3 linked regions of the Arabidopsis thaliana genome follow. The protein of the gene in region 3 interacts with the protein of the main gene of each other region in a pairwise test. Each region holds a gene or a part of one and is shown on either strand. Other genes may lie near its edges.

Region 1 (7,811 bases), about 18 Mb from region 3:
AGGTATTAAACCCTTGGTTAATGGGAAACAGGTGAGGCATATGTGGGTTATAAACGGCCAAATAGAGGACATGGACGTGAGATGATCCAACTCGGTCTTCCTATAGCTGATACGCCGCCTGATGATGATAGTATCAAAGGCAAGTCCTTTAAAATGTTATTTACTTATAATTTCTGTGTATTGGTTAACATGAGATATGGGCTTTATGCAGATCGAAGAATAGAGCCAATCCCATCAGCTCTTTCAGACATCATTGAACGTTTGGTCTCAAAGCAAATCATACCTGTGAAACCAGACGCATGCATCATTGATTTCTTCAGCGAGGTTAAACTGATTGCTAAATTCTTTGCAACCCCTAAAACTATCTGTTTCTGTTTTCTTAACAAAGTAGAAGTTTTCTTGTGTCTTCTCTGTTATTGTGAACCATAGGGAGATCACTCGCAGCCTCATATGTTTGTTCCCTGGTTTGGACGACCCATCAGTGTCTTGTCCTTGTCTGAATGTGATTATACATTTGGAAGAGTCATTGTCTCTGAAAATCCCGGCGACTACAAAGGCTCTCTCAAGCTGTCTCTCACTCCCGGGTAACCGATCCATATCACTTATTCTGTAAAATCAAGATCTTTCAATCCTTTTATCATCAATTATATTTGGTACTTTGAACTTTGAACAGATCGGTTCTTTTGGTGGAAGGCAAATCCGCAAATCTTGCTAAGTATGCAATTCACGCAACCCGAAAGCAACGGATACTCATTAGCTTCATCAAATCTAAACCGAGAAACTCTAACTGGGGACCACCGCCGAGCAGATCGCCAAATCAGCACATCCGTCACCCAACCGGCCCACCTAAACACTACCCTGTTGTTATCCCGTCCACTGGTGTCTTGCCCACTCCGTCTCACCGCCCACCAAACGGAGCTGTTCAACCGATTTTCATCCCTCCTTCTCCTCCACTTGCCTCTCCAATGCCGTTCCCAGGTGGTGTACCAACCGGGCCGCCTGTCTGGCCACTGCTGCCACCTCATCCACGACACCAGACAGCACCACAACCTCGAATGCCCATCCCAGGCACTGGTGTGTTCCTCCCACCCGGTTCAAATCAAGAACTGGCTGACAACAGCAACGGAACAGAAGGAAAATTAGATTTGAAGGCGAAAGAAGAAGCTCGTAACGGATTTGGTGAAGGGGAATGCGATGGCAGTAACGGTAAACAGAGCAATTAGTAGCTGAAGAAGAGAAGATAGAGCAAAGAGAGAGAATAGTTTTTGGGAGATGAAATCTGAGGTGCAGTTTACAAACTGTTAAAAGAGCGGTGAATTCGATGAAATGTCGTTTTGTTTTTGCCACTTGAGAAATTATTTTTAGGAGAGTCAAAACAAGGAAAAGTTACCCGTTTTCTACTCTCTTCTCTAAAATCATTCATCTATATCCTTTCCTTTCTATTCAAATTCTATCTCTGCCTCGTTTCGACTGAATCATAATATCTTCTTACACATGCATATATATATATACCTTTGTTTTTCTCCAAAGTGTCTCAAGATTCTCAAGAAAGTTACTTTTTTTTTTTCTTCTTGGAATATTTTTTGGGATTCGAAAGCTAAGATATGAAGCCTTTATCTCTGTTGTGTGATACAAGTTCAGCTGTGTGTTCGGTCCCATGGTTCATGGCAGTGGCCCATGTCTTCATTCCTTTGTCCACTCTATTAAGTCTCACCAAAAGTAAAATAAGATAAGCCTTAATAGAATGACTATTATATTTCTTTTGGGAGATAATTTTGGTATGAGCAAAAGTGTTCTTGCGATCAAATATGAGAGATCCGGGGCTTGTGAAATTATGTGACAGAATCTCATCCACAACATAGAGTTGTATATCATTTATCTTATCATATAATCCATAATTCACTATAACTTATCTATATATATTACATGATTGAAGAGAATCTGAGCACAGGACAAAAGACATGTAACAAAATCATTATCTATCTTTATAGATGAGAATCGGACCCATTTTGTGTCCCTACAAACTACACAAGAGTACTGTATGCACGCATGCTTCGGGAAAACTTGTTAATCAAATTGGATAAGAATAACGAAAATTAATTAACTTAATTAATATGGAAGCGTAAGAGAGGATGATATTTACATTTTAATATGCTTAGATTCGATATGTATATACAGTATATGCATGCAGTATTTCTAGTTAATCTCACATCTTACAAATTTTCAATAATATCTTGTTTGAAACTGTACTTTTACGCAATAAAGATTTCATTGACTTTTTTTTCTGATGCTGCTGATATGTTCTTGTCATATCATAATGTGATTCGAAAATTCGACGAAGTACGATATTGATAATTTCATAGTACATCGATCATAAACAATTACGTCCGATTAAATTGGAATCAAGAAGCGAAATAAAGCGCCTCCTTGTAAGTCTTCTTCCAATGATGCAGAACGTGTCCAAAAACATCATAAAAGACTACACGCAGTTCAGCTTCTGAAACGTGAACCGACATGAAACCTTGTCCGTCGTAGTAAAACCTCATCTCTTCTGGTTCAACGTAGTTCACGTCACCTCCTTTCCAGGCCTTGGATCCACCTCCACTTGTCATAAATTGTATGTTACTATATGCAACCAAAAATGGTGACATTTTATATCCTCCCGTACGTGGACCCTTACGTTACAATAATTGATTAATAAGAAAATAATTAACGAACAAATAAATAAATTTATTCTACCTGTCCACGCTGCTTATGTGCTCTAAGCAATGATCATGTCCGTTTACGTAGAGATCCACTTCATTTGCCTAGTAAATCGAGAACAAAAAAAACAGATTTAATTAGATAGATTTTTTCTATTGGTGCATAAACTTTATTATATGAATGGAATGGTTTTGTTACTTGGAGAATAGGTAAAAGGTGTTTCTCCAACTCAATGGTGTTCCCGTGGTGGCCTGCGCTTTTGATCGTATGGTGACCAATCACTATTTTCCACTTTGCGACTGACTCTCTCAACGCCACGTCGAGTTCCTATATTATTACATTATAGCTTTCGTTAGTCACTCGCTCGTAAAAAGAAAAAAAGTTGCATTGGCAGATTGTTCTCTAATCATATCGCATTACATACCTAATTAAAACGCGATTCCATTTGAAAATAGACAAAATAAAAGCTGCGTTTAACATCCAATCATAACTTTATAAAAAAATCCAATCATAACAAAAGAAAAAGGAATGTTTTGCCCAAAACACGTATATAATGACGTTCCTAAGTTAATATTAATTCTATTTCGACGAAAAAAGAAAGAAAGGAAGATTTACTTAAAAAATTGTTACCTTTAAGAGATTATTCAGATATGTTTGCCTAGGTAATACACCGCTCCAGTCATAAACATGCTTATTTGGTTGAATAAAGTATTTATCGACGAACGGAGTTGTGTCGACGAAGAACAAATCGACGATCTCTGTTCAGTTAACGAAATTAACAAAAATAAAAAAATAATTGGAGGATTAATAAAATATTTCTAACTTTTGAAGAAATATTATATAGGAGGAATTACCAGCATTTACAATGAAAGATCTCATGCAAACCCATCTGTTGTCCAGAGCTCTGAGCATAGGGCTAAGTTGTGCCCTGACGTCACCTCTATAATCATGATTTCCTAAAACTTTAGGTTAAAGAAAATGTAATTAACACATTGAACCACATATCGTTTAATAATTAAGATCCAACGACGAATGTACACATTGAACCACACATTTACCACTATACCAAGGTTTCTGCAAGCTCGGAGCGGTATAAATGTTGGTAAAAGAATCTTGAAATAGAGGATCGTGCAAGCTGGTTAAACCATTGTCGTAAAAATTATCTCCAGTAGAAATCACAAAATCGATATCTAATTTCTCTCCGATTTCTCCCATCTGTTTAAATTTCGTGTGAAATAATTTAGCATAAAATAACTAAAAACAACAGTATAAAAGAAAACATCAAACTAGCATAAAATTTACCACATTGAGTTCATCTGCAAAACAACAGTACAAACAAAAATCATATGTAGAATATCTTCGTACACTAAAGCTGTTTTCTTAACACAGACCGAATCTTTCAAGTTCCTCTAACATGACTTTCTTTCTTTTTATGGTATCTTATAACATGGTGTTCAAGAATTAGTAATATATATTGAAATTGAATAATAATAATAAAAAAAAGAAAAAAAAAGAATAATATAAAAACATAAGGGCCGGCATTAATATGAAGACCAGTAAATTTGATCCTCATATCACGTATGCTCTTGAAGGCATACGCATATATATGTTTACGTAATACGTATTAATTATACACTATTGAATTTGCATTATATATTTATATATATGCGTACAGGCGAGAAATATAGTAAATAACTTGTAAATGAAAATAAGAAGTAACCTGAAGAGCTACTTGGGACTGATTATAGGAGCCTCTTCTTCCCCAGTCTCCGATAACGAGAAAGCTCACTGTACCATCGGTTTTTGATGGCTGCAGTAGCCTGCGGAGCTCCGCCGTGGAACTATGGGAGGAGAATATAATAATCAAATTATAAACGTAAAATACCAAATTTACAGGTTTGTGTTTTAAGGTAGCCATTGAGAGATTAGAAAAGCAAAAGAGGAAGAAGATAAGGAAAGGAATGGTTGATTTTGTTGTGATCTTTGTGTCTCTATATATGTAGGTCATTTCGAGGTTGATAAATATGAATAAAAATTATTTGCCATTTTGAGAAATGTAGTCCATTTTTGTTTTCTATTTCAATCTTTTGATTTGTCAATTTTATTACAATAATTTGAATCGGTAATTTTTTTGTCACCCACTTTTTCAGATATTTATCAATAACGAAATATAATGACAAGATAAATTTAAATAAAATAAATAGCGGTTGAAAATTAGCTGTTGAAATATTTTAAACATAAAGAAATTGGATATTGACAGTTTAAGGATATTTGAAAATTTCTATTATCAGTGAAAATATACGTAAATTTCTACTACATTTTTATTTCTAACATTATACATAAACATATTATCTAAATTTGGATTATGACACATCAAACAACAGTATGCATACAAACTATTATTACACCGTGAATTCTGATCACACAAATTCTTTCTAAAATCGCATTTTAAAAACAAAATATACTTGAAAAAAATAGAAATAAAATTTACGAAGCTCGGGTATGTGCGTTGTCATACAAGAAGAGTAGAAGACAGCATAAACGCCCATGCCACAAATTTGTCGGAAATTGCAATTATTAGCTTTGAGTCACATTATTGATGTGAGTCTAACGAAAACTTCCAAATTCTCTCAATTATTGTTGACCGTTAGTTATTTTACAGTATAGTTCTGAACATAAAATAATGTGAATAGTTTACTAAATTCGTTCAACATATTAAAGAAAAATCAAAATCCCATTTATACAAAAATTTGAAAGTATATCCTTACTGGATATGAGAAAATAAATGCAAATGGGTTGGCCTATGTTATTGGGCCGATACCCATTTCTCTAATGAAAAGAAAGATCTATAAAAACAAACTTCTGCTTCTCGACTAGGACATTAATTCTGAGGTATGACTATGAAGGTATCATATTATTTTGTAATTCTTGGCCAAAACTTGTCACCTGTGTGTTTGTATGTTCTTACAAAAGAGAAAACTAATGAGCATTAACTTCTGCAACGTTTATTTTACATGTTTGGTCTTATTGCTGATTCAGTCTAGTTCGTCGAGTATTTTGAAAACAACTTGAGGAGTTAATCAAAAGAAACAAGCTTAATGTGGTATATATGTTCCTTACGACTATAGTTCCTATTAGTATGATGTAGTCAGCAAGATTGACTTATGATGACTATAGAAACTTCACTGAATATCTCTGGTGGTCCTAGACAGTCACAGTGTCCTACTGTATCTTTAGTTTGGTTCGCCAAGTCTAGTATCGGACCGTATAGATAGAGAGATGTCAATTGTGTTTATGTGTTTTTTTTTTCTCTCTGAAGCAAATTGATTGATCGATTTGTCAGCAATTCCTTTCGAGTCAAAAGTTTTGACCAACCAGCTTCTTCGTGAAACTCTCTAGCTGTATTCACACATACACACACACACCTAACAAAATTATTGAAACAGTGGGTTTGATGTAAAGCCTAAATCATTCAACCACCTCTCTCTATTTCTTTTTTGTTCTTTTTTTCTATGCAACATATGATTATATATTAGATCCATGTGATATTGCTTGAGTCTTTAATTTAAGGCTTTATAAATAGAACAAATATAGGCCTTTTTAGGTCAACACGTGTGTGTGGAAATGATGCTAATGCTTCCAAAATGAAACAGAATAATGTCGTCATGAGCTACTCATTTACAAGAGGATTGTTTTAGTGTTGGATTGGCTAATAGACTTGGATCGATATCTATAATATAGACCATATATATAATATGTTTAGCCTAAACAATGATATATATGTCATGTGACACTTATGTGTTTTAGCAATCACTAAAATAATGCAAACATTAATACATGTAGGTGAGTTGTGAGTTCAAATAATATTAGTCAATACTCAATAGTCACTGTAATTGATATTTTGAATGGCTTATCCTATGAAAATTTAGTACTTTCATAGAGAGAAAAAAAAAACAAATGTTAATCTAAAGACGACAATTTAGATTTTAGCAGTCGCACCAGAACTAGTACCAGGAAACATAAGATAATATATACAGGACTAGCTACTTCATTATCTTTACGTAGTTTATGACAAAGATTGTTGTATAATCTTCATCAGCTGACTTCTTTATTTATGAATGAAGTGGTTAGAACTCAACTTGTCGGCTAATAATTCAAGCAACCCAACACAATGTTTGGGATTATCCTGTTTCTGTCTTCTTCTAAACTTTCTAAAGTAAGGCTGCTTGTTCTGTCAGTACGTGTGAGATATTAACATAGTTATAAGACAAACATAAATATCAGAAATTCAATATATAATGTCATAATAATTGCTTATTTGATTAGTAGTTGTGTCTCTCGCTCTGGTGGCTTCTTGCTTTCCTCCCTGTCGGATTGCTAGTGGTTTGACTTCGATGTGAGTTCTTTCCGATCTTATTGGTGTTTCCGACGTTTTCCGTTTCTTTGGGGAAGCTTTGTGAGGGTTCCTGGTTCTTTTGCGCAATTTTAGTGCTTAGATCTTCGTTTTCCCTTAACGGTTGATCTTTTTTAGATATTTGTCTTTTGTTTTCTTCGTTGGTCTAAATAGTTTCTCCGTTCCGTTGAGGCTTAGTTTTCCTCTTTTGGGCTTAGTTTTTGGAGACATTTAGTTGGTCTGCCGGCGTTTGTATTTCAAATGGTATTCTACCTTGGGTTTTTAATAAAATTCAGACAACAAAAAAAAAAAATTAGCAGTTGTGGCAAGCAATAATGAAAGGTTTGGATAATGATACTAATTTTTTTGCTGATTAAATTAAATATAGAAATAAGATTTTCAACTTATTCTTAATGAAATTAGTGGAGTGGAGTGACATTGGCCACCACCACTTCCTTGCTTTTGATTAGACCAATTTGGCATATTTTTCTTGTAAAATATACACACATCTTCTATTAATTTTAGCTTCACTCAAAACAAATACTATTTCTGCATTTCATCATTCAAAAGTGATTTACCTCTTTATTCTCATGATTAAAGGTTCATTTCAACGTCGATAGTAGTATTTAAATTACAATTTTTTTTTTTGGATGCATAAGACTAATTCTAAAAAATTTGGTTGGTCCAAAAGGTCGTCATGCAACGTACAAATACG
Region 2 (7,293 bases), on a different chromosome or scaffold from region 3:
AACTTGCTTCTTAGACTTTCTCGGCTTTTCCGCAAAGGAAAGTCCTTCTGATGCAACTTTTTCAAGGATAACATTGTCTCCAATCGACCTAACAAGCTCACAAGCTTTCTCCTGTACACAGAAGAAGTTTAATCGTGAGTCTTTTGTAATCCAATTCTAAATAAAACAGACAACCTCGAATAACATATGACCCCGATAGATGGAGGTTTAAAAGCTTGAGTTATCTACACACCTGTCGAAGACCACGAACTCCCTGAGAGTAGTCACTGCCAAGCAAAAGCGCTAGAGCTATCTGTAACATCACCCAAGAAAACATTGTATACATGACCTTACCATTTGATGAAACATAGCTAAGATTTTAAAGTTCTTTGACGCATGGAATAATAGTCAACACTCAACAATGTGTAGCTGGTTTTCTTGTCTACTGATGCTAACAAAGGAATTGAGCCCTTAAAGCTACAACGTTGCAGTAGAACCATTCATACACATAGTATCTATCTCACCTGAGTTTATAAAATATCAAAGGCCACCTTTTGCAAGCATTGCATTCATGCTTCTACCAATCTAATCATTTTATAATAACGTGGTGCAGCTTTATAGAAACGAAAGATCAGGGTTAAGTATATAAAGCTAATCACTTAAAGAGGTTTGTTAATTTACCAATGAGTTCCGTCCAAGCCCAAGCTTTTTCTTGATGTCATCCATCTCGTAGCAAACAACATAACCTCCTTCACCTAGTTCATTGGCAAATTTATTAGGACTTATAATACTATTAACCATATCAGACGGTAAAAGAAACCAACACACTAAAGAGTCTCTTTCCACTGACCAAGGCATATTTCTCTGTATACAGTCTTTGCACCAAAAAGGAAGATATCCGAATCAAAGCTAAAACAGGCGTCCTATGGATGATCATTGAATATTGGGTTAACAGCATGACGAACAAGAAACTGATTAAAGCTGAAAAATGCGTCTTACACATAAGGATTCCGAGTTTAGCAGAGCGCATTGCGCCTCAGCCTCCTCAATCCTGCATTTGATGGAAAATACAGAACAGAATCAGTTTCTCATAAGCAAAGTTAAACATTCAAACCAAAGTCTCATAAGCAAAGTTAAACACTCAAACCAAAGTCTCATTGTCAATCTAAGCTAACTGTCTTGAAGCCCTACCCGTCTAAACAAAGTATCCCTAGTGTTGATGCAATAACTTTCGCCTCTTTTATGATGCACGAGAACTCAGACCCCATATTTCTTTTGAGTGAAGTCTCTTTGCTAGGCTCAACACCATCGTCAGCGATCTGGCTGAACCAATATAGCACGAAATCGAAAAAAACAATCCAAAAACTAGCCATCATATGCAAGGATGAAACCACAAGTGCCACATTTGACATCATTGTACCTCGAATCTTGCTTTTAACCGACGCTTGTAAGTTGGTACTTTGATTCCAGGAATTGCACCATCTACAATTACATGCCACATTCCAACAAGTCAAGTATGCTCAATAGCATTGAAAAAACTAAACTTTAGAGCAAAGCATCAATAAATAAGAACTGATTTGACCACTCATGCTTCTATTACTCAAATCAATTCACAATGACAACAATACAACACTACATAAACCCTAATTGGCTCTTCTGATGGCAATTTTCAACAGTAGGGTAGAATTAAATTACCTGAGACTAAAATGATGGAGCAGTTTAGGGCAATTAGGGCTCGGAGACGATGAAAAAATCCTCGAAGATAAACTTTTTCTTTAGTGGCGCAATAAGATTTGTTCACTTTATGCAATTCCACCATCCAACACGAAAGATCCACGCATACCCTTTTGTTTCTACAGCGATTACGAAGATCTCGTAAAGACTTGGTCTTTTTAAACACCCAGAAAAATTAAAGAGAAATTGAGACGAAGAAACAACTCACTGAAGATGATCGAGTGGGAAAGTCTTCTTACAAGGCTCCAAGACATCCCAAAGATACTTCACTCCCATAGCTTCACCTTCGAGATCGAGCGAGAGAGAGAGACAGAGACAGAAAGAGGGAAGAAAATGATTTGACAAGATATTTGAATTTTGAAAATTTGGTTCAATAATAATTCGAAACCGGTCGGTTTGAAGGTTCCAAACCGAAACCAAAATTATTGCAAATTCTTCACTTCGGTTCGGCAACAGACCTACCATCAAATGTAAGTTGGTGCTTCGATTTTAGGAATTGAACCATCTTCAATTACCAGGCACATAGCAGGATGTCAAATATGAACTAAGCATAAACAACAAGTGAACAAACCCTGAATTATAGAACTGTTTATCGATTAATACTGTAGAAATAATGTATTTTGAAGCTTCCATAACCAGAATTAGATGTCATTATACAAGATCCAAAAAGTACACACAAGGTCACCATTTTTATTGAGCTATATACGACTCATACTTAAACCCTGAAAAATCTCACTAATTTCTCAAGAGAAACTGTGCCTCTCATTACATTGACTTTACTCCTTTGCAGCATCATCATCATCAGTTGCAACATCTTTCTTCTCCGTGGTTTCCGCGATTTTCTCGCCTGTGCTTCTAGAAGTTTCATCATGGGTAATTGCTGAAGCTTCTTCTCCAGTGTTTGTAGAAAGACCTTCCGCAGAGGCAGTCTTTGCTTCGGAAGGTTCTGAACTTTCTTTGCCTTCTCCATCCTTCTTTTGAATGGTTCCGACTTTGACATACTTGCTCATGAACTTGTACTCCCAGTCTTGTAACGCCTCTAGCTCAAATGCACCGAGACCTGAGATGTCTCCAGTCAAGTCTTGGTCCTCAAATGACATCTTTGCCAGAGCTCGGCTTGCATCTTTCCCTGCAAACAGAGCATATGGCCCACCTGGTCCATAAAACATCCTGCATAAAAAGAACAGATGGTCATGCAAATTAGCGACCAGTAAGAGTTAAGTAGAGTTTGAAGAATGAAAAACTACAGCTTGGCACATATGAATATGATTCATCTAGATATGTAGTACAGCTGATGAACTATGTACAAGAAAAAAACTAAAAGTTATGCATACATATACATCGACATGTATATGCGTTGATGAGTGTGTCTGTGTCTGTCGCCACTATGAACAAGCAAAACGGTATGATCACTGAAGTGATTATTTCATCTAGCACAAAACCTAATTACCACAACGAAGTTTTCGGTAACTGGAATGTAAAAGAACTGTCTAGTTGACAAGTCAGGGATCTAGACAACTGCAGCATGGTTACATACCAACAATGTTCGCCAAAACTTAATTTACAAACGTCATGGAACACAAATAGCAAGCAAATGTGGATAATTAATCAGTGAACGATCTCTTTCGCCACAATAGCAATATTAGAAGCCAAACCTTTGACGAGTTTGTACGTTATCAATCTCTACTAATCCAAGATGTAATCTAAATACAGGTTTTTCTAGTATAAGAAAAAGTAGAGATCTTTCCGATAACTTGAATACAATACAATTGTATCAGTGCTTCTAATGGTATTGTTCCAAGAAAAGAAGTGAAAAAACAAACACTAAGATGCAAAAAGCAATAAAAAGAGCATCATAAGATTATGAACAAAAAGGAGAGAATATTCATCAAAAAGATTTACTAAAAGTGTTCAGTTTTACAATAAAGAATCACTTAAACTAGAGTTCGAGCATCAGTAGATATACTAGAATCATAAGATAGATAGTAATTGGAAACTTCGGATTATAAATCAAACAGTCAACCATGATTAACTAACCTAAACCCCAAATCTCGAAACTATTGGGTTGAATCGTTTATTACTGGTAATTTAACTAGTGATCATTTGGATTCAATCATAATTTAATGAACAAGTAAAGATTTCACAAGAAATACCTGCTCTGAGAAACATCATAGATCTGGCCCTTGATCGCCATAAGAAGGGGCTTTTTAGAATCGGAGCCATCATAAAGCTTAAGCTCCTCCTCAGTGATTTCTCCGAGCTGAACCGGCGGTGGAAGAGGCTCCGATTGAGGCTGAACCTCCAAAGAACGAGGTCGGTGAACTTCAGGAGAAACGAAGAAACCGGAGACGACTTGGTAAACGGCGAAAGCGAGAGCAAGTACGGTGAAAAACGCAGCTGGAGAAAGTCCAGTGTAAGCTGTGATTGTTTCCTTCAACGTCTCCCATATTTGCTGAACCATGATTTGAGAAGCTATCGAGAAGCGAAAGAGAATGAGAGAGAAGAGTAACGTTTTGTGTTTTAATTTTCAGATTTATTTGCGATCGAATTAAAACATATATATAATATCTTCAATTTTTGGTATAAAATAAAATAAAATGGTCAAATTACGCAACAAGAATTTTAAACGATTTTGTTTAACAGTCGTCGTCCATAATGACCGTTGATGTCTGAAAAATATTTTCTTTTTGTTCGTGTGAAACATACATAGAAATTTTCTAAACGTTTTTAAGAATATATATCGTTACCTAACTAGTGGTGGCTGAGCTCGATAAAACGGTGTCGTTAATGCCGCCGGAGAAGACTGGTAGGTAAGAACTAAGAAGAATAAGATATAGACCAAAAAAAAAAGGTAGATGATTTGCAAAACAAATGTGACTAATAATGCTAATATCAAGACAAATAATTGTAACAATATTGTTTTATTTTCCTATTTGGTGTGCAAGGTTGGTGGTGATCAAAAGTTGATCACTACAGACATTCATTGGCATAGCCTACAGATATATACACATAATACGATTCAAATCAAAACAAACAACACAAAGAAATAAACAATTCAACAGTCAAAGATGAGAACAATAACAAGTTAAGTCCTTCACAGAGAATGATCACAGCAGAAACATCAAAGATGAAGAGAACTCACTTCATCAACCTTCCAGTCTCCTTCCTCATACTTGTACCATCTCACAATCCCTTCATCGTTTTCAGTCCTCTGACACATCACACACGTCTTGTGATCCATGCAAGTCAAGAATTTCTTTAGCCTTGCTGTTTTCTCCATTATCGTCTTATCGAGCTCTCTAACAATCACCTTCTGCTGAGGCTGCCAACCGCTGTACTCCACTAGGTGAGAGTGTGATATGTTGAGCACTTCAAGGCTTGGTAATCCGTCAAGGATTTTCATCAGTGCTTCCCGCTTTATCGCCGAGCATCTGATGCTGAGTGTTTTGATGTTTGGGAGGCAAGTGATGAGCGTGTTTGCAAAGAAGACCTCGAATGGACCCATGATCTTCAGCTCTTTAAAATTCTTGCAGTTCTTGGCAATTTCTGTTAAGAGATAAGGCGGGTTTGCGATGCTTGGCATTGTTAGTGACTCTAGATCTTTCCAGATTCTTATCGCTTTGCATATACCAGTCTTCTTTATTCTGTTCCAAGCCGGTAGGACGACCCGTCTCAACCCTGGACACCTGCAAAATATTCAGTACAACAAATTTTTCAACTTTTAGCATTTGCGAGATTCAGCTTAATTGTAATTCAGCAATTTTGACTGAAAGTGGGTACATGAACTTAACCAAACCAAAAACTGAACCAACTTTTGACTAAAAAACCATAGTTTACGGCCATGATGAAACAATTTGGAAGACAAATAAGTGGAAGAACGAAAAGGACATACCTTTCTGCGGTGTAAGTAAGCTGATCATCACTCAAGAACAAGTTGAAATGAAAAATCAAGGTCCTCGTGCTTCCTCCGCTAAGGTTCATGGAGAGTTTCAGGATGCGGGTTAGGGCCTCATCAGATCGGCGTTCCACATAGACATAAGGCTCTAATGGGATCTTGATGAAACTAGATCTCATGTTTGACAAATCCACCGTCTTCCAAAGAATCGGATCGCAACAAGCAGCTCTCCATCCTCTACAAACATGAGCTAATCCCGAAGTCAACTCAAAGACGCTAAACTTCTGGAAAATTCTTACTAAGATGTCAGTGTCCAACTCTTCCCATCTCCTCAATCGACGACTCTCATACTCTTCTTCCATTCTTGTTGTACCCTAAACAAGCATAAGAACGTTAATCAACTGTTGTTATCCACAAGAGCTTATAGAAATAGGAAAGAGCACAACTTTAAGAAGTAGGAAAAGAAACACACATCAGTTCTCTTATTCTCTCATAAATATGAAATTCTAATCAATCAATCCTCCCTGAATCCCTCAATTTCCATGATTCCATTTCCATCACAGGATTGATTGATTGCATCAATCAATGAGTTATTACTGCTATAAGTGAAATGAACTACAGAACCCAACTATGATAATGTTGGAGTTAAGTAATCAAAGTTTAAAGTCCCAAAGAGAAAGACTTTTCTTCCCTCAGGTAAACCAATACAAACACCAAAGCTAGATTATATTCTTACATGATCATCATAATCGATCTTCATCACTATTTATCAGAAAAAGGAAACACCAAACCTTAGAAAGGAAAACTTCCGTATCAGAATAGTTCAACAAGGAATTGAAACCAAACATAAAACCAATCTACAGAGGAATATATGCAAGACAAGTCAAGAGTCTCAAACTCTAGAGATTGTGGCCAAGTAATTGAAGATCAACCATTAAAACTCAGAAGAACATGAAAAGACATAGAATTTGACAAACCAGAAGACTAAAGATCGTAAAACTCACTAGGACAGAGAATTAAGCGAAATCTGATGTAAAGGAATCGAATTTCGAAAATCTAGAGGAATAAGATTGAAAACCCCCAAGACTCTGTCAACAAATCAATCTGATCTCTTCACATTCCCAAATCAGTCGAACTAAAAAACCGAAGAGACAGATCTCGAATCGCCATTTTCTCAATTCAGAATTGAACAAAGAATCAAACGAAACATAGACATGAATTAGATCATAAAGAAGAAGCTGAAACACGCAAAGGGGCACTGAGAGAAATGAAGAACCTACCTTTAGGAAGAGGCAAATCGTTTGGCGACGACGACACCGTTACAATCTGTCTCTAGCCAATGGAAGTAGATGATATGAATTTTTTTATGATAAATCGGTTTGGTTTTGGTTTGACGGAGTTTTCAGATTAAACCGGTCTTAAACTCAACACAAACCCTTATCTTTGGGAACAAGATTCTTATTGAGGTTGACTCTTTAAAAAGTAGTTAAATCCGACGGTGGAATACACTTATGAGTAATCTAACGGCTGGTATGCAACTTTGGTAGGTGAGTGTGTTTAATCTATGAAGGGCGGCGATGCGAGAGAAGATAAAGAGAGAGAGAATAGAGAAATCTCTTGTCTCTTGGGTATCTTCTTCTTCACTTTCCTATCTCTTTCCCAATAAAAGGAGTCTCTCGCTTTCT
Region 3 (8,988 bases):
AGATATCGGCAAAGGAGGCTTTAAATATACTTCAAAAGAATATATTTTCTAGTGACACATATCATAGATATTTTGACAAAAGATTTTCTTTTGAAATGGAAAAGAGATCACATGAAATAAAATATCAAAAACAATATATGAACTAAATCCAAAGGAAGGCAGCAAGAGAACTAGAGAAGGTACGAGCAAAAAAGGGTATAGGACTGACTGGATATGATGGCTCCGAGAGCCACAAAGGCTAAGGACATCGAGCAAAGAAATGTGAAGCACAGCCCAGCATCTACAATGCAACGTCCATGGATAGAGGCAGCGACAACCAAGCTAGTCAAACTAGAGCCATATATATAGTCAATCTAAATATAGTTATTTTATAAAGATACAAATCCCTAAACTAAATAAATTTGTATGCAAATTCTATAATAATTTTCTAGAAACCTTTTTTTGTTATTTTCTATTTTAAACAGACGTATCTATCTTTATTTTTACTAAAAATAACATTCATTTACTAAAATATATGTGGTTACTAATCATCATCTAAATATAACCAACTTTGAAATCAATCTAGTCTCTACTATATAAACACCAACTAGCGCTTGTTCATAATCCCACAGAGCCAATTCCCGATACATTATCAATTATATAAATAACATAAACTGAACTCCTAAGCAGGGTTCTTTTTATAAATTTATTATTTATTTATTGTGGAAAAAGAACAATAATAATATGGGGATGTCTAAAAGTATCAAGGTTATCCTATCTCTTGCTCTTGTAGTGTTCTTGGCACTTGCAGGAACCAAGGTTGAGGCCTCCGTAAGATACATAACTTATCCTGCTATCGATCGTGGAGATCATGCTGTACATTGTGACAAAGCCCACCCTAACACCTGCAAGAAGAAACAAGCAAATCCTTACAGGAGAGGATGCGGAGTGCTCGAAGGTTGCCATCGTGAAACAGGTCCAAAGCCCACCTAACAGCATTAAATATACATTTGGTTGACATGTTTCTCATTGGAGTATTTGGTTATTTGTATACACTCTTTACATCCTCATATTCATCTGTTAATTTGGCTTTGTAATTGATTGTAATCACATCGTGTTATGGTCAATCATATATAAATATTTTAACGATATATCGAGCTATTTTTCAATTTCTTATAGACATTTGAGCGATTATCATACTTCTTGCCACAATAACAAGAACTATGGGAATATACAATAACTATTAATCCCTAGGATGGAACTTGGAAGAGGTTTCACTTTTTGATTTCACTTTCAACAAATGCGTGTGGCCACATAAACTTTTGAGCTTTGACCCAAATGTTTTATCTAAAGTGGGCTTGCCAAAAAGCTCTTGTTAAAAGACTTGATCACCTCTAGATTAATAGGGCTTGACTCGGACATTTGTGCCAATAGGAAACAAAAATGGATAACCAAAAAGAATACCAAAAGCTGTTAGATAGAATAGGAAAAAGTGTTAAGTGATCATCAGTACAACAAATGTCACATCTAATAAACAAGTAACAAAGTACTACACGGTTCATTTACAAATGAGCTTGTTTGCAATCTTCAAGGAAAAAGTAGTATGCAGCAAATTTCTTCCAAGCAGGAACATTTTGTTTGTTTTCGCGATTTGCAGTAGCGAACAGAATTGACCATGCACGTTTGTATTTTGTAAGATTGACGTTGAGATCACAGCCCACCGGGACTGGTGAGATTAAAGCATGTTAGAGTATGTTAGAGTTTTGTAAGGTAAGTACGACCGGATAATACACATATTGAATTGCTATTTGTCATTAATAAATGTCATCACGACAGTCGAAATAACATCATTTGTAGTAGACATGTATGTTGTCGTTTGTTACAATATTTTCTTACCAGATTAGTATTCATTATAGACGTCAATGCATAAAATTACAGATGTACGAACGTATATGTAGTACCATGTGCATGGTTATATCAATATTCGTTTTAGGTTTGTTAGAATGCAAATTAATCGTTGTAGAGCCATGTCCGCATTGCATTGAAAAATGTAAGTCTATAACACAGTTTTACATGACATGTTAATGACTAGGGTTTGCCAAAATATATAAATACTTGATTTGATTAGTTATATGTCCGAATCTGTTTTAAATTATCATACGCGCGCCAATTACAAATTGTTTATCACAATATACAAACTACAACACCATATTTCATTATAGTAAAACCAAAATTTAACTACGAATCTGAACGTAGCCCTGCTTTATGATAAATATTTCCCGAAAAAAAATCATTAGAATTCCTATAATGATAAAAAAAACGCTGGTTCTTATGGTAACACCATGTGAAAAGTGATGACTTTTTCATAGCAGTAGAAGTAGTCAACTACCTCAGATAAGTACTGTAATTAAATAAACTAATTGCCCAAAATGATACAACTTTGTCGCATTAAATTAAAAGTTAAACCTTCACTGGATGCATTACCAAAATGGTCATATAACAATACGTAATCCAACTCGCTGTAGCTATCAATCTCTTTATCACAACCAACCAATATTCAACAATGTTGTTTTATTTATTTTTCATATGGTTTATTTAATCACCTCGACTTTTTTGGCATCGATCACATCTACAAATAAATTGTTAGTTAGCACGACCGTTATTATTACTTTATGAAGAATTGTTAATCTGAAAAATATCCTTTTGATATCAGTTGGAAATATTTTTTTAAATAATTTATTATGTAGAGCTTGCGGCTGAGTCAAATAAAAATAAAATTGAAAACTAAAAGCGTGATTGACAAAATGACTTTAAAGGCTGATTTGTTTTTGAAAAAACCAAGTTCTTAAGAACACATTTGAACCAATCATCGAAATATATGGTGGAAATATATTTCTACCAAAGATTTGTTTTTTAACCAAATAATTGAACACAACGCTAACTGAATATTTTATAAAACTGATACAGATTTATTAAAAATTTTGCTAATAAACATTATAAAATTGCTTTTACCAATTATAGGATGTATTGTATCTCTTGGACTTTAATATCGTTGACGATCTTGACAAATAAAAAGCTGGCGTTTCATTAAATTGGTATTTACAATGAGAAAAATGTGTGGGATCCAAAACTGGATATAGGATTCGCTTTACTGTATCTGGATCCGAAACTCTAAAATATGATGTTTCTTATGATCTGGATTTTTTCAAACTATAAATGATTTCTGAATTTCCGTGTATGTCAACCAATATTTAAAAACAGATTATATTTCTTAAATATTTTTCAGATTTTTTGAAAAATATTCTGTAAATTACAAATGCAAATAAATTATTTAAGACCGTTAAGGATCAAATATGTTTTTAGTTTATTCAAATCTCTCGTTCTCTCATATCGCTATTTTGTACTTAGTTTAGATAAAAGTATTAAGTTTGGCTTCTTAGAATTTGATGTTTCTTTTTTTCGTTTTTGCTATCGACTTTTGTTTTTTTTTTTTTTACTATTTTGTTGTTATTTATCTATTCCTTAGATTTTGGTTTTGTTTCTGATACTTATATTTTCTGTAATTTATGTCGCAACTTCAAAAATAATATAAATACTTTACATTGATATTAAAAAAAAAAAATTGAGCTCTAATGACCTTTGGAGCTCATGCTCATCTATGGAAAAAAAAATCCATGCAGGAAGAACCAAGAGGAAACGGTATACAAAATAATATTAAATAAATAATTATTTGTCAATAAAATAAATAAAAACTCACCAAAGTACATAACAGTTCACACAGCATGTTTTTAGAAAAGATCATATACTATTGGTTTCAAAGTCTTTGACTTTGAATGTTTGAACTTTTCAAGGTTCGCCTACTCGCCGGTCGTCTCCTTTAACCTTCGTCTCTGTGTTTATATAAGAACATATACGTATTTGATGATTACAAAAAGACAATTCTTTATCCTTCTTTAGATTTCTGTGGAAAGTTCACTATTTATTAGGAGAGACAATTTCAAAAAGGAAAGCTTTTTGCTTGGAACTGTTCTGTGAGTTCTAATGGCGGATCAAGTTAAAGAAAAGACATTGGAGGAAACTTCTACATGGGCCGTCGCGGTGGTTTGCTTCGTCTTGCTTCTGATTTCGATCGTTATTGAAAAACTTATTCATAAAATTGGATCCGTAAGCCACTTTCTTAACCTTGTTCTCCTCCTTCAAGATTCTCTGTTTCTGTATCTGTTTAGTTCTTCCCAAAAATCAAACTTGATTGTTCTCACGAACTTACATCAGTTTATGTTTGAAACTGCCAAAACCCAAACGGGTTTTAGTCTTTTTTTTTTTTTTTTTTTTTTGTATGTACTTGTGTCGGTTTCATAGTATCCTCTGTTTCTAATACTAAACAAAACTCTGTTTTTTTTTGTGTTTCTTCTTACAGTGGTTTAAAAAGAAGAACAAAAAAGCTCTATATGAAGCACTTGAAAAAGTGAAAGCAGGTAAATTTATTGTTAATTTAAATCATTATAAAAAGAAACAAGTTTTCCCTCTCAAAGATTCTTTTAATCACCTTTAGTTTTGGTTAATTATATGTGAATTTACAGAGCTTATGCTGATGGGATTCATATCACTACTTCTAACAATTGGACAAGGATATATCTCAAATATTTGCATCCCTAAGAACATCGCAGCATCGATGCACCCTTGTAGTGCATCCGAAGAAGCAAGAAAGTATGGTAAGAAAGATGTCCCAAAGGAAGATGAAGAAGAAAACTTGCGTCGAAAGCTTCTACAGTTAGTTGATTCTCTTATTCCTCGAAGGAGTTTGGCTACTAAAGGTTATGATAAGTGTGCAGAGAAGGTAAATTCTCATTCTATAGAAATATTTTCTTTGTAAGAGCCACTAGTGTGACATTTACTAATGTTTGTTACCAGGGAAAAGTCGCTTTTGTATCGGCTTATGGCATGCATCAGCTGCATATATTCATCTTTGTTCTTGCGGTTTGTCATGTGATCTACTGCATTGTTACTTATGCTTTGGGAAAGACCAAAGTAAGTTCTTTTATATCCATCCACATTCTGATCACACCGGTTTTGATGTTCCTTTTTTCGCTGAAGAGAAGATCTTTTTTGTTTTGTTTCTGTTATTGCAGATGAGAAGGTGGAAGAAGTGGGAAGAGGAGACTAAGACTATCGAATATCAGTATTCACACGGTATAATTTACAAACTTGGAATGAAAAATTGATTAAATGTAAAACTTGAGTGTGAAGTTTCAACAAGGAATGATTCGGATAATGTAGATCCCGAGAGGTTTAGGTTTGCGCGGGATACATCTTTCGGGCGTAGACATCTGAGTTTCTGGAGCAAATCAACTATTACGCTGTGGATTGTATGTTTCTTCAGGCAGTTCTTTAGATCTGTAACCAAAGTTGATTACTTAACACTGAGACATGGTTTCATCATGGTATAAGTCAATCTTTTGATCTTTAACTTTTCTGTTGTATAATAACTTATCTCTCAAGGCAAAGATCTTACAGCATTGCACGAATGCTTCTTCTTTTTCTTCTGTTTCAGGCCCATTTGGCTCCTGGGAGCGACGCAAGGTTCGATTTCCGAAAGTATATTCAGAGATCACTAGAGGAAGACTTCAAAACCATTGTCGAGATCAAGTATGGAACTAATTAAGATTACAAACTCCACTTCACTAACCACTACTTAATCTGATGTTTTAACTGCTTATATCTTCAGCCCTGTGATCTGGTTCATAGCTGTGCTATTCCTCCTGACAAACACAAACGGTACACTCGTTTTCAAAACGTCGCTGCATCGATACCTCTTTAAAAGCCTTCAACAATCCAAAACTAATAGATTACTCTGCTTTTCTAATGAACAGGATTGAATTCTTACCTCTGGCTACCGTTCATTCCCTTCATCGTAAGCAACAACCAAAACCTTTAGACTAAACCTATTTTGTTTCGGTTTCAACTCCGTAACAAGAATGAATGTATAAACAAACTGCAGGTGATTCTTATTGTTGGAACAAAACTTCAAGTGATAATAACAAAACTAGGACTTAGAATCCAAGAGAAAGGCGACGTAGTGAAAGGCACACCGCTAGTTCAACCCGGTGATCATTTCTTCTGGTTCGGTCGTCCACGTTTCATTCTCTTCCTCATTCACTTAGTCCTCTTCACGGTATACATTCATCTTTTACTTTCTACTCTCTCTCCTTACAAAAATGCCTGAAATTTAACCATTTCTTTTTCGCCATCATCAGAACGCGTTTCAACTAGCTTTCTTTGTCTGGAGTACGGTAAGCAAGCAATCCTGCATTCTCCATGAACTTGAAACGTAATAATACCTATACAATCATCATTTTCATCAAAATCTTTTGTTATCTCTTCAGTATGAATTCGGTCTAAAGAACTGTTTCCATGAAAGCAGAGTTGACGTGATCATCAGAATCTCAATCGGGTAAGTGGAAAACATAAGCTTCAAAACCCTTCATAGAAACCATCCCTTAACATCTAACAAAGTCACAACCTTTTGGAAAACATAAGCTTCAAACATAGAACTGAGAAACCATTCCTTAAAATCTAACAAAGTCACGACCTTTTGGATCTTGCAGACTTTTAGTTCAGATTCTTTGCAGCTACGTTACTCTTCCTCTATATGCTCTTGTTACTCAAGTAAGATCCACGCACACACAAAAACACATAAAGATTGAAACTTTCAATTTCAAAAACTGACATTTTTGAATTCAATTTTGGTGAAGATGGGTTCAAAGATGAAACCAACAGTGTTCAACGAGAGAGTAGCAACAGCGTTAAAGAGTTGGCATCACACAGCTAAGAAAAATATCAAACATGGAAGAACTTCAGAATCAACAACACCTTTCTCTAGTAGACCAACAACACCAACTCATGGTTCTTCTCCGATTCATCTCCTTCGTAATGCTCCTCACAAACGAAGCAGAAGCGTTGACGAAAGCTTTGCGAATTCGTTTTCTCCGAGAAACTCTGATTTCGATTCGTGGGATCCTGAGTCTCAACATGAAACTGCTGAGACTTCGAATTCGAATCATCGTTCTAGGTTTGGAGAAGAAGAATCGGAGAAAAAGTTTGTTTCTTCATCAGTGGAACTTCCTCCTGGACCTGGACAAATACGAACACAGCATGAGATTAGTACTATAAGCTTAAGGGATTTTTCGTTTAAGCGATGATTTAATGTTTTCTTAATTCATTATTTAGTGATTTGTTAATATGCTAAATGAAACCAGTTCTTGTAAATTTTCTATACTATGTTTGTTAAAACCAGCCCTTGAAGCTTTAATTTCTCAATGTAAAAGTCTGATGATTTTGGATTTTAAGACTATGGAGATTCATGGGTAGTTGGTGAAGAGTGTTCTTGTCTTTTGGGTTTGAGAGTTTGTGGAAGATGTGTTAGCAGATTTAGAAAGCATGCAAGGGGTTTGATAAAATGCCTGAGTGAGACTTGGTTTTCCTGAAACACAGTGGTTTCTGGGTGTAGATAGATTGGATTGGCGAGGATTGTATTTTGATATGGTTTGTAGAATCTGAAGACTCGTTTTATCGCCACTATTTTTTTGAGTATTGACAAGGTGATTAGGGATCTCTTGTGAATGCCTTCAAGGATTTGGTTGAAATGCAATTTGCTAGATAGCTCTTTAGTGGAATGTTATATTCATGGGGTTCGATGAATGACGGGGTATGTGCAAAATGAGAATTTTAAAAAAGCAATTCGTGAATTTATGCCGGACAAAGGGTTGGAAACCAAGATCATTGGTGCTTTGCATGCTTGTGCTTACGCAGGTGATCAGGACCTAGTGGCCAGGCCAGGACCGTTGTATCTTGGAATACTAGATGGCAGATACGTTGTATTGGGGTCAAAAAAGGTCAGTGGTACAATTCTCATGTTTGAAAATGAATGGTAGCGGTGTTGCCTATTTTTCATTGGTTGTGGGCTCAATTTACCTGAAAATAATAGGTCAACTGTTGCATGGTTGATTGGGTAAACATAAGCATTTCACTTTTCTAGAATCTGTATTATAAAACAAGGTTTTAAGTTGATCGTGAATAAAGTAATGCAGAATCTTGGAAAATGGGTGCTTTGTAGTCAACATTGGTTAGAGGTGCTTCCATTTTCTATTCAGCACTTGACTTTGTTTTATTTGCTTACTTTTCTCTTTTTTACAGTATACATGTTCTCTTCCTACAATAATCTGAGGAGATTGTTCTTGGACATTGGGGATGACGAGGTTTGCTTGCTTTCTCTTCTCTACCTTGCTCTTAAGTTTTAGCTATGCAGCTATAACACCAACAAGTCCTTTGTCAATTGGACAAACTCTCAGCTCCCCTAATGGAATTTTCGAACTGGGGTTTTTCAGTCCTAATAACTCTCGGAATTTGTATGTTGGAATCTGGTTCAAGGGTATCATTCCCCGGACGGTTGTGTGGGTGGCCAATAGAGAAAATTCTGTTACAGACGCCACTGCGGATCTAGCTATCAGTAGCAATGGAAGTCTTCTCTTATTTGATGGCAAACATAGCACTGTCTGGTCCACCGGAGAAACTTTTGCATCTAACGGGTCTAGTGCAGAGCTTTCAGACAGCGGAAATCTTTTGGTCATAGACAAAGTTTCGGGAATAACTCTATGGCAAAGCTTTGAGCATCTTGGTGATACTATGCTACCTTACTCCTCCCTGATGTATAACCCCGGCACTGGTGAGAAGCGGGTATTGTCTTCTTGGAAAAGTTACACTGATCCATTGCCTGGTGAGTTTGTGGGTTATATTACAACACAAGTGCCACCACAGGGGTTTATTATGAGAGGCTCGAAGCCTTATTGGAGAAGCGGTCCTTGGGCTAAAACAAGGTTTACTGGCGTACCACTAACGGATGAATCATACACACATCCATTTAGCGTTCAGCAAGATGCAAACGGGTCAGTATACTTCTCTCATTTACAAAGAAACTTCAAACGTTCATTGTTAGTATTAACATCAGAGGGG

Evidence for each region. Proteins that work in one complex are often made in the same cells at the same time.
Region 1: the proteins of MLO6 (region 3) and PAP3 interact in a protein complementation assay, tested with the Arabidopsis thaliana proteins (one large-scale study listed by BioGRID).
Region 2: the proteins of MLO6 (region 3) and MAPR3 interact in a protein complementation assay, tested with the Arabidopsis thaliana proteins (one large-scale study listed by BioGRID).

Annotation. Positions count from the first base shown.
Region 1 is NC_003070.9:5,055,580-5,063,390, reverse strand, and holds PAP3 (purple acid phosphatase 3), read right to left. Parts: upstream 4,809-7,811; 5' UTR 4,712-4,808; coding exon 4,424-4,711; exon of another isoform or gene 4,006-4,423; intron 3,919-4,005; coding exon 3,762-3,918; intron 3,666-3,761; coding exon 3,558-3,665; intron 3,462-3,557; coding exon 3,334-3,461; intron 3,031-3,333; coding exon 2,902-3,030; intron 2,808-2,901; coding exon 2,740-2,807; coding exon of another isoform or gene 2,736-2,739; exon of another isoform or gene 2,626-2,735; coding exon 2,403-2,625; 3' UTR 2,251-2,402; downstream 1-2,250. Other genes in the region: AT1G14710 (hydroxyproline-rich glycoprotein family protein), read left to right, coding at 32-139, 212-324, 430-584, 674-1,223.
Region 2 is NC_003074.8:18,126,550-18,133,842, reverse strand, and holds MAPR3 (membrane-associated progesterone binding protein 3), read right to left. Parts: upstream 4,392-7,293; 5' UTR 4,175-4,391; coding exon 3,867-4,174; intron 2,884-3,866; coding exon 2,490-2,883; 3' UTR 2,251-2,489; downstream 1-2,250. Other genes in the region: AT3G48900 (single-stranded DNA endonuclease family protein), read right to left, coding at 1-111, 233-292, 661-734, 830-902, 979-1,030, 1,171-1,298, 1,400-1,461, 1,675-1,832 and 1 more; AT3G48880 (RNI-like superfamily protein), read right to left, coding at 4,835-5,399, 5,606-5,970.
Region 3 is NC_003070.9:22,707,065-22,716,052, reverse strand, and holds MLO6 (Seven transmembrane MLO family protein), read left to right. Parts: upstream 1-3,763; 5' UTR 3,764-4,020; coding exon 4,021-4,143; intron 4,144-4,289; exon of another isoform or gene 4,290-4,396; coding exon 4,397-4,454; intron 4,455-4,559; coding exon 4,560-4,816; intron 4,817-4,890; coding exon 4,891-5,007; intron 5,008-5,108; coding exon 5,109-5,169; intron 5,170-5,256; coding exon 5,257-5,420; intron 5,421-5,530; coding exon 5,531-5,625; intron 5,626-5,704; coding exon 5,705-5,754; intron 5,755-5,849; coding exon 5,850-5,890; intron 5,891-5,930; exon of another isoform or gene 5,931-5,977; coding exon 5,978-6,151; exon of another isoform or gene 6,152-6,233; coding exon 6,234-6,269; coding exon of another isoform or gene 6,270-6,317; exon of another isoform or gene 6,318-6,362; coding exon 6,363-6,430; coding exon of another isoform or gene 6,431-6,434; exon of another isoform or gene 6,435-6,584; coding exon 6,585-6,645; coding exon of another isoform or gene 6,646-6,705; exon of another isoform or gene 6,706-6,731; coding exon 6,732-7,178; 3' UTR 7,179-7,585; downstream 7,586-8,988. Other genes in the region: RALFL8 (ralf-like 8), read left to right, coding at 724-972; AT1G61565 (uncharacterized protein), read right to left, coding at 825-884, 969-978; AT1G61562 (uncharacterized protein), read right to left, coding at 6,242-6,317, 6,874-7,040; AT1G61550 (S-locus lectin protein kinase family protein), read left to right, coding at 8,227-8,988.